2 linked regions of the Elephas maximus indicus genome follow. The protein of the gene in region 1 interacts with the protein of each later gene in a pairwise test. Links are inferred from orthologs where the notes say so. Each region holds a gene or a part of one and is shown in the gene's direction. Other genes may lie near its edges.

Region 1 (3,750 bases):
AGTTGTATAGTTGCTGATTTTGTCAAGTTTTCTGATGTTTTAGCTACAATATTGTGGAAATTAGTATTTGTGAACCTATATCAATAACTTTTGGAGAGCGAAGTTAGTAATTAAAGGAAAAGAAGTGATATACAGGAATTACGATTTACAAGTAACATCAATACAAAAAATATTACTAAGGATTCCATATGGTCTGGTATGGGAGGAGGTCCGTGGAGGGGGGTGACACCATTGGTTACTGCACTGGGTGACACTAACCCTTGTGACGCCACTGACAATAACCCCAATTGTGTGGAGTCACAAAGAGCGCTGACACTGTGAAGTCACTGGATCCTCCAACCACGCTCACCGTGCAGGCATTATTTCATTCCATCCTCATCTCTGTTAATGAGATACTGTTAGTACACCCATTTTATAGATGAGAAGACTGAGGCTCAGAGAGATAGTGTGACCTTCCCAAGGCCACATGGTTAATAAATGGCAGAACCAGGAATCAAACCAGGGTCTACTAAACTCCAAAGCTCAAGTACGTATATATCCCAGGATGTAGAAAGGTCTTAGATGAGAAAACTGTGGCTCAGAGAGGTCAAATGACTTGCCAAAGGTTGTACATCTGGAAAGTGGCAGAGGCAGTATGCAAACATCTCCCCCCCCCTTTTTTTAAGCACCAAACTCATGTCCATTTTAGCAACCAGAAGATAAGGGGGCCCAAGTAGATGATCTCAAAGGTCCCCTTCAGTTGAGAAGCATTTGAGTTCTGGGTTGTAGAGGAGAGGAGCTGGAAGGAGAATGGATGCAAATAAAGAATCTCCTTGGTCTTATTGCAGTTCCTCATGCCTCATGACTCAGACAGCCAGTGTGGTTGCCCCAGACCTGCCCTTTCAGCCTCATCTCTTCCTTCAGTGAAGGCGAGAAAAAGTCATTCAACAAACTGAGGGCCATCAAGTTGCGGAGCTTGGGTCTCCAGGCCCTCACACTTATCCCCGCAGCAGGTTCTTCCCGGAACGGTATGAGTCCACAGTCACCCACCACACAGCGCCGCCCCCCCCCCGCCCCCCGCTCATAGTGGCACAGGCCCTCACTCACCCAGCAGTGTGTCAGCAGTGACAGCTGCCCCTAAGCCAGATTATGAAGCAGTCACACCCTTCCACATTGGAACACACACCAGCACTGGGACACACACCACACCCTCTGACCCCACACCCAAGGTGCCCCTCAGAGGTCTACCGGGGGTAGAGGGATGCACTTGCCCCAGGCGGGTCCAAAGGAGGACGCCAGACGAGGCTTGGAATGACATTCCAAGGCGCCACAAACATGAAAGGCGCCTGACTGAGACAGTTGGACAAGAAGGGAAAGGCATTTCTACTGATACGTCACTCTATCAACGTCTATTCATTCATCTTGACATTGGGAGGGGGGCGTAATTTAGAGATTGCCCCTGGCACCTTTACCCTTGCTACGGCCCTGCCCTCTCCTCTCCCTGACTTGGTCCCACCCGGCTTTCCCGAAGGCCACGCACCTGAGAGCCTCTCGGACCTCGCGGCGGGGACACACCCCCGGGGAGGAGCTGCAATTGCAAGCCCAGCTGGCTGCGGCCAGCTCGGGTTTCCTCTCCTCCGCCCAGAGACCAGACAGGGACCAACATGGCACAGAAGGGTCCCGCCCGCGCCCTGGAGCCCGAGCACGTCCAGCGGCTGCTGCTGTCCTGCCGCGAGGCCAAGAAGACTGCCTACTGCCCCTACAGCCACTTCCCTGTGGGCGCCGCCCTCCTCACTGGGGACGGCAGGATCTTCTCCGGTAAGGGCGGACGCCCGGGGCTCCTCATCCCCGGCCGCATTGGGAAGGGTAAGGGGAGGACGGGCCAGACTCGTGGAAGAGGCACCGCGAAGACAGCCCAGCTCTGCCCTCGCCAGCTCCTGTCCCCTTCTCTGGGCCTCTCTTGCCCTGCCTGCTGCGGAGGGGAGGGGGGCAGGGCGGAGGGCAAAGGGTGTAAACGTGCTTACAAACTCTACTGCTGGTTGAAACCAGGGGCTTGCAATCCTCAGAGGACTGGGAAGCAGGAAGGAAGTTTTGAAGGGGAGGCAGGAAGGGACACAAACCAAGAGCATCAGGCAGTCCTGAGCTGGGATGAAGAGGGTTAACTCTTTCGGAGCCCCTGTGTGCCTGGCACTGTGCTGAAGCTTCCACAAGTTATATCAGTAAGTCCTACCCCCAAACACTCGCCTAGGTGTTACACCCATTTTTAGACGAAGAAACTGAGGCCCAGAGAGGTGATGTGACTTGCCCAAGGTCACACAGGGTATTCACGGTGGAACCCAGAGCTGGGATCCCCAAAGCCCTGCTCTCTTCCCTACACACACTCTCTGTGCTGGGGGAGAGGCAAGAATCCAGGTGGGATCACTCAGTGGGGTGCCGGCCTTCCAGGGAGTCCCAGAGGAAAGGAAACAGGCAGGGTTTGTGAGTCAGTGAGTGGGAGCCTAGGAAGATGGGGTGGAGAGCAAATGAATCTGAGCCCACACTAATCATCCCTAAGCTCCTTTTCTTTGGTTGGTTGGTTTTATAGAAAGTTTCACTTGAAAACAAAACAAAACAAAAAAACCTTGTTTTTGCTAAACTAAGGGGCAGCTCCACTCAGGAGAGGGGAGAATGTGATGTGAAGGTGGCAGGGAAGTTTTGCGCCCCCTCCGCAGCTAGAAAGTGGGCACACTGGACAGATGGGGAGATTCAACCCTGCTGCCTACAATCCCCTTCCACTTAGCAGCAGGTTTTTAAAGGACCTGAGGCTCCTATGTGTACACGTGGTTGGCAACCTCCCACCAACCCTCATCAGGTCCAGACTCAGGTCCCTCATTCCCACCACCGCTCCAGCTGTGAGTCCGCTTATAGGGACTGCATCTCCCCTTCTATCACAACCCTTCCTGGGCTCCTCCTTGATATTCATTTTATCTCCTGTCTTTTGAGATTCTGTTTCATGAATCACCTGGGATTTAAACTTCTTCAAGCTGAAGTAACATTGATTGAGCCCCTAGTATGAGAATATGACTAATGTTATCCACTTAACCCTCATCAAACCCACAATGCAGTTATTATATCACCACTTCACATCAGAGAGAGGTCCCTGGGTGGCACAAACAGTTTGTGCTGGGCTGCTAACTGAAAGATGGGTAGTTTGAATCCACACAACAGCACCACGGAAGAAAGGCCTGGTAATCTGCTTCTGTAAAGATTACAGCCAAGACCTTTTAACTCAGTACTCAAGTCGCTCCTGAGGTTCAGCCCAAGATGAGACAGGCCCATAAAACAAACAAGAATAAAACAACCATGTATATGAGATCAAACGGGCACACTAGCCCAGGAGCAAGGATAAGAAGGCAGGAGGGGACAGGAAAGCTGGACAAATGGAAATGGGGAACACAGGTTCGAGAAGGGGAGAGTGTTGACGTGTCACAGCGTTGGCAACCAATGTCACAAAACAATATCTGTATTAATTGTTTAATGAGAAACTAATTTGCTCTGTAAACGTTCATCTAAAGCACAATAAAAAAAATTAAAAAAAAAAAAAGATTACAGCCAAGAAAACCCTATGCAGTAGTTCTACTCCATCACACACGAGGTCACCATGAGTCAGAATCCACTCAGCAGCAATGGGCTTGGATTTTCTGGTTTTTGCAGAGGAGGAAACAGGCTCAGAGAGATTAAAATGACCAAGATCACAAAGCTGGGATTCAAACCCAGGTCTGCCTCAACTCT
Region 2 (3,750 bases), on another chromosome or scaffold:
AGCATTATGCTTTTTATCAACTATGTATATGAGATCAAATAGGTAACAGTAACAGTAAAGATTAGATAGGAACCTTAGGGGGCATTGAATTTACTTTATTAAATTTATGTTAACAATTTTTGATGCTTTGCTGTACGTGACTTTACGTGGTTTTCCTTTTTCACGTTTGAGTTGCTCACCCAACTAGATGGAGAACTCCGGAGGTCAGGGATTTTTATTTCTCCTTGGCCTAGTTTTTTTTTTTTTTTTTAATTTTAAATCTCAAATATTGAGCGATTCACAAAAATGAGCGAACAGTAACTTTCTAGTTTTTCAGGATGGATGGAGGAAAGAAATGAGGTGGAATGGTCACATGGTCAAAAAATGTCGGGGAACATGTTAATTCAAAACGCCATTGACTCCTGGTGCCTGAGAATCTTTCACTTTTTTTTTTTCCTTGGCTATGGTTTGACAGGAGCCCTGGTGGGGTAGTGGTTAAGAGCTTGGCTGCTAACCAAAAGGTTGGCAGTTTGAATCCACTAGCCACTTCTTGGAAACTGTATGGGACAGCTCTACTCTTTCCTGTAGGGTCGCTATAAGTCAAAATCAACTGGACCGCAAAGTGTTTGGTTTGATTTGGTCAAGTTTGACTAGGACAAGGCGTAGGTACCACCACAGGGCAGCAAAGGAGGGTGAGAAGGGTTGCAGAACTAGAATATAATTAATGTCACTAAATGGTACACGTAGAAAATGTAACTGGTGCATGTTTTGCAATAATAAAATAAATAAAATTATATTTTTTTTTAAAAAAAGAAGAGATGGAGAAAGCTCCTAACCCGGTAGCCCGTGCTCCACCCCCTCCCTCCAAGCTCTCTTCCAACAACCCCAAGTTCTCCCGCCAGCAACTACAACTCCCAGAGTGTCCTCTCGCAACGCCAGGCGCATGTGCGTGCGCGTGACGCAGGCGGCCGCCCAGGATGTTCGCCGTTCGGCTCAGCTGTTTCTCTCACAGCAGTTCGGGAGCTAGAGACGCGTCGTTTTGCCAGCAGGCCCTGGTTCGGAGAGCGGCGTTTGGGCGTGGTTTCAGGTGACTGTCCCCCCGCCCCGGTCGTGGCGACCCCGCGCCCTGCAACCCTTGGGCCGGCCGCCCAGGCGTCCGGCCCGCGCCCCTCCGAGTGGACCCTCCAGCGTGCCTTCGCCCTCGGTCCCCTCCCGGCCCGCCCCCCCGGCCTCCGGTCCGGCGCTGGTACCCTCCACGTCCTCTCCCTTAGAGCCGCCCACGCCCGTCCGGACCCCACCCCCCGCGCGGCCCCTGCAGCCCCAGCCCTGCTCCTCCTTGACCGCTGGGCGCTCGTTTGCGCTCCCGACGTCCAGACGCGGGGCTCCTGCGCCGCCTCCTTTGTCCGAGTGCCGTCCGCGGGCCCGGCCGCCCTCCCGCCCTCTGGGGTCTCCTGGTTCCCGGGCTCCAGCGCCGGCAGCCGGCTCAGCCCCTGCTGCGGCTGCCGAGGTCGAGGGCATTACGGGCTCCTTTTTTCTCCTCTTTCCCGCCCGGAGGTCGCAGCTCTGGGGAGGAGGAGAATGTCTTTGACGCTTTGAGCTCGCGCGTGAATCCCACCGCGCTTCTCCAGGAGGCCTGTCCGCTGCCTTCCACTTGCTTTTGACAGTATCTTTAGTTTTTGATGCTTTGTTGTACGTGGCTTTATGTGGTTTTCCTTTTTCACGGTTTAGTCTCTCACCCAACTAGATGGAGAACTCCGGAGGTCAGGGATTTTTATTTCTCCTTGGCCTAGTTTTTTTTTTTTTTTAATTTCAAATCTGAAATATAGAGCGATTCACAAAAAACGAGTGAATAGTAAATTTCGGGATTTTCAGGATGGTTGGAGGAAAGAAATGAGATGAGACAGTCAAATTGTCAAAAAATCTCAGGGAACATGTTCATTCAAAATGCCACTGACTTCTGGTGCCTGAGAATCTTCCACTTTTTTTTTTTTTTTCTTGCCTCTGGTTTGACTGGACCCCTGGTGGGGCAGTGATTAAGAGCTTGGCTGCTTACCGAAAGGTTGGCAGTTCGAATCCACCACCCGCACCTTGGAAGCCGTGTGGGGCAGTTCTACTCTGTCGTGTAGAGTCTCCGTGAGTCAGAATAGACTGGGCCACAGAGAGTCTGGTTTGGTTTGACTAGGACAAGGTGTAGCCACCAGCAGAGGGCAGAGTGCTTACAACTGAAAGGAGGAATGTTCTATGCTCTCACTTGGACCCTGAGGGAACCATTACCAGTGCAGGAAGTGACTTCACCAGTCACAGGAGAAATTAGGTCCTGAGCTGGGACAGTAAACTGTTAAAAAAAAAAAAAAAAACTGTTAACTGGCCTTTAATATATAATATATATTTTTTCTTTATTATCCAAGTTTATTGTTGGGGTGAGTTCCTATCTATTGGGGACTACAACTGTGTCTCAGTATGTGCTGTAGTAACTCCAGGTTAATAGCCATTCTGCAAATAGTTGTACTGGGGCTTTGTAAGGCATGTAGGTCATAATTAAGTCAGTGGCGAATCAGCCCAGAAAAACCCTGACAATAGAGTCATTACTTTAGAAAGTTCCAGAGCTATGCAACCTGTAAAGCCTCATCTGTCAGCTGATGAGGAAACTGAAGGAGTTGGAGGAATGAAACAGCCCATTTTCTACTCTTCTGGGCAGGATAACTATGGCTCCAGTGCAGGACCCTGGTCTTGTAAAATCCTTTAAGCTCCCAAAGCAAGTGAAGTAAGACATATGGAGGAAAGGACCAGGAACTGGGACAGTGGAGGATTAAGTAGAATTGGAGGGAATGGAAACTTCTGGATTGGAAAGTAGCTGGGTTTAGAGGCCACCTGAAATGATAAAGGATATAATACAGGTAAAAGCAAATGGGGAAACAATTCAAATATGGGAAGTTATTCAGATACTAGAAATGAAGTGAAATTTATTCCTTTGTTGGGGGGGTGGGTAACTTGTTTAAAAAATATCAGAAAGATGAATCATTAACAGGGAAATGAGGACCTGAGTAGAGATTGGTGTTTCACGATGCCAAGAACAGCTTATGATACCAAGATGGGCTGAGTCTACAGGAAGAAGTGGTTACGGTAACCAGTTATCCAGATTTGATATTGGAATGACATTTCTAGCAATGGCTTTGTCTTTGAGATTCTGGCACATTTCTGTAGCAGATAGTTTTGAAGGAATGTTTTGATAACTCTTATGTGGGAAGGCAAATTACTATAGTGTAAAGATTCAGTGCCCCCTCCCTTGACCTGTATTCAGCAGGGTAGAAGATAGAAGTCCTGAAATAGTTGTGGCTAAGGTCCAAGCCCTCCCACTGCCCTTGGGATAGCATTATTAAAGAAATTAACCACACAAGTATCAGATGAGTCATTGGGCTTTATACCAGGTAGACAGTAGATAATTTATGGTGACTGCTTCATAAAAAAAAAAAAAAAAGGCAGCCTGAAAAACAGAACTGAGATTGCTAAATGCTGCTCTCTCCTTAAATATAATAATAATGAAAAAAGGGAGAGGGGGCATTAAACAAGACCTTAAATAAGTCTAGCTGCCGAGCAGATTGGGGCGATAAATAAAACAGCATAGTTTATTTTAATCTCTGTCTTGCGCACTAACCCAGTTTGTCTGTAGAAGAGCCATCTGCTGGCACCAGGCCAGTGTGTCTTAATTTTGCTGTTATCGTTAGTATCTTGTTTTTCCAAAAGAGGAAATGTGTAAGTCGCTGGTGTGTA

The links. The genes of interacting proteins can lie anywhere in the genome.
Region 2: the proteins of CDA (region 1) and PLEKHB2 interact in binary tests that used the Homo sapiens proteins (3 or more experiments, as listed by UniProt). The two-hybrid records come from large-scale screens. The link is inferred for Elephas maximus indicus from reciprocal best matches to the Homo sapiens genes CDA and PLEKHB2.

The regions. Positions count from the first base shown.
Region 1 is NC_064821.1:60,841,938-60,845,687, forward strand, and holds the start of CDA (cytidine deaminase), read left to right. Parts: upstream 1-1,571; 5' UTR 1,572-1,643; coding exon 1,644-1,797; intron 1,798-3,750. UniProt on the Homo sapiens protein: This enzyme scavenges exogenous and endogenous cytidine and 2'-deoxycytidine for UMP synthesis.
Region 2 is NC_064824.1:17,843,735-17,847,484, reverse strand, and holds the start of PLEKHB2 (pleckstrin homology domain-containing family B member 2), read left to right. Parts: upstream 1-944; 5' UTR 945-1,066; intron 1,067-3,750. UniProt on the Homo sapiens protein: Involved in retrograde transport of recycling endosomes.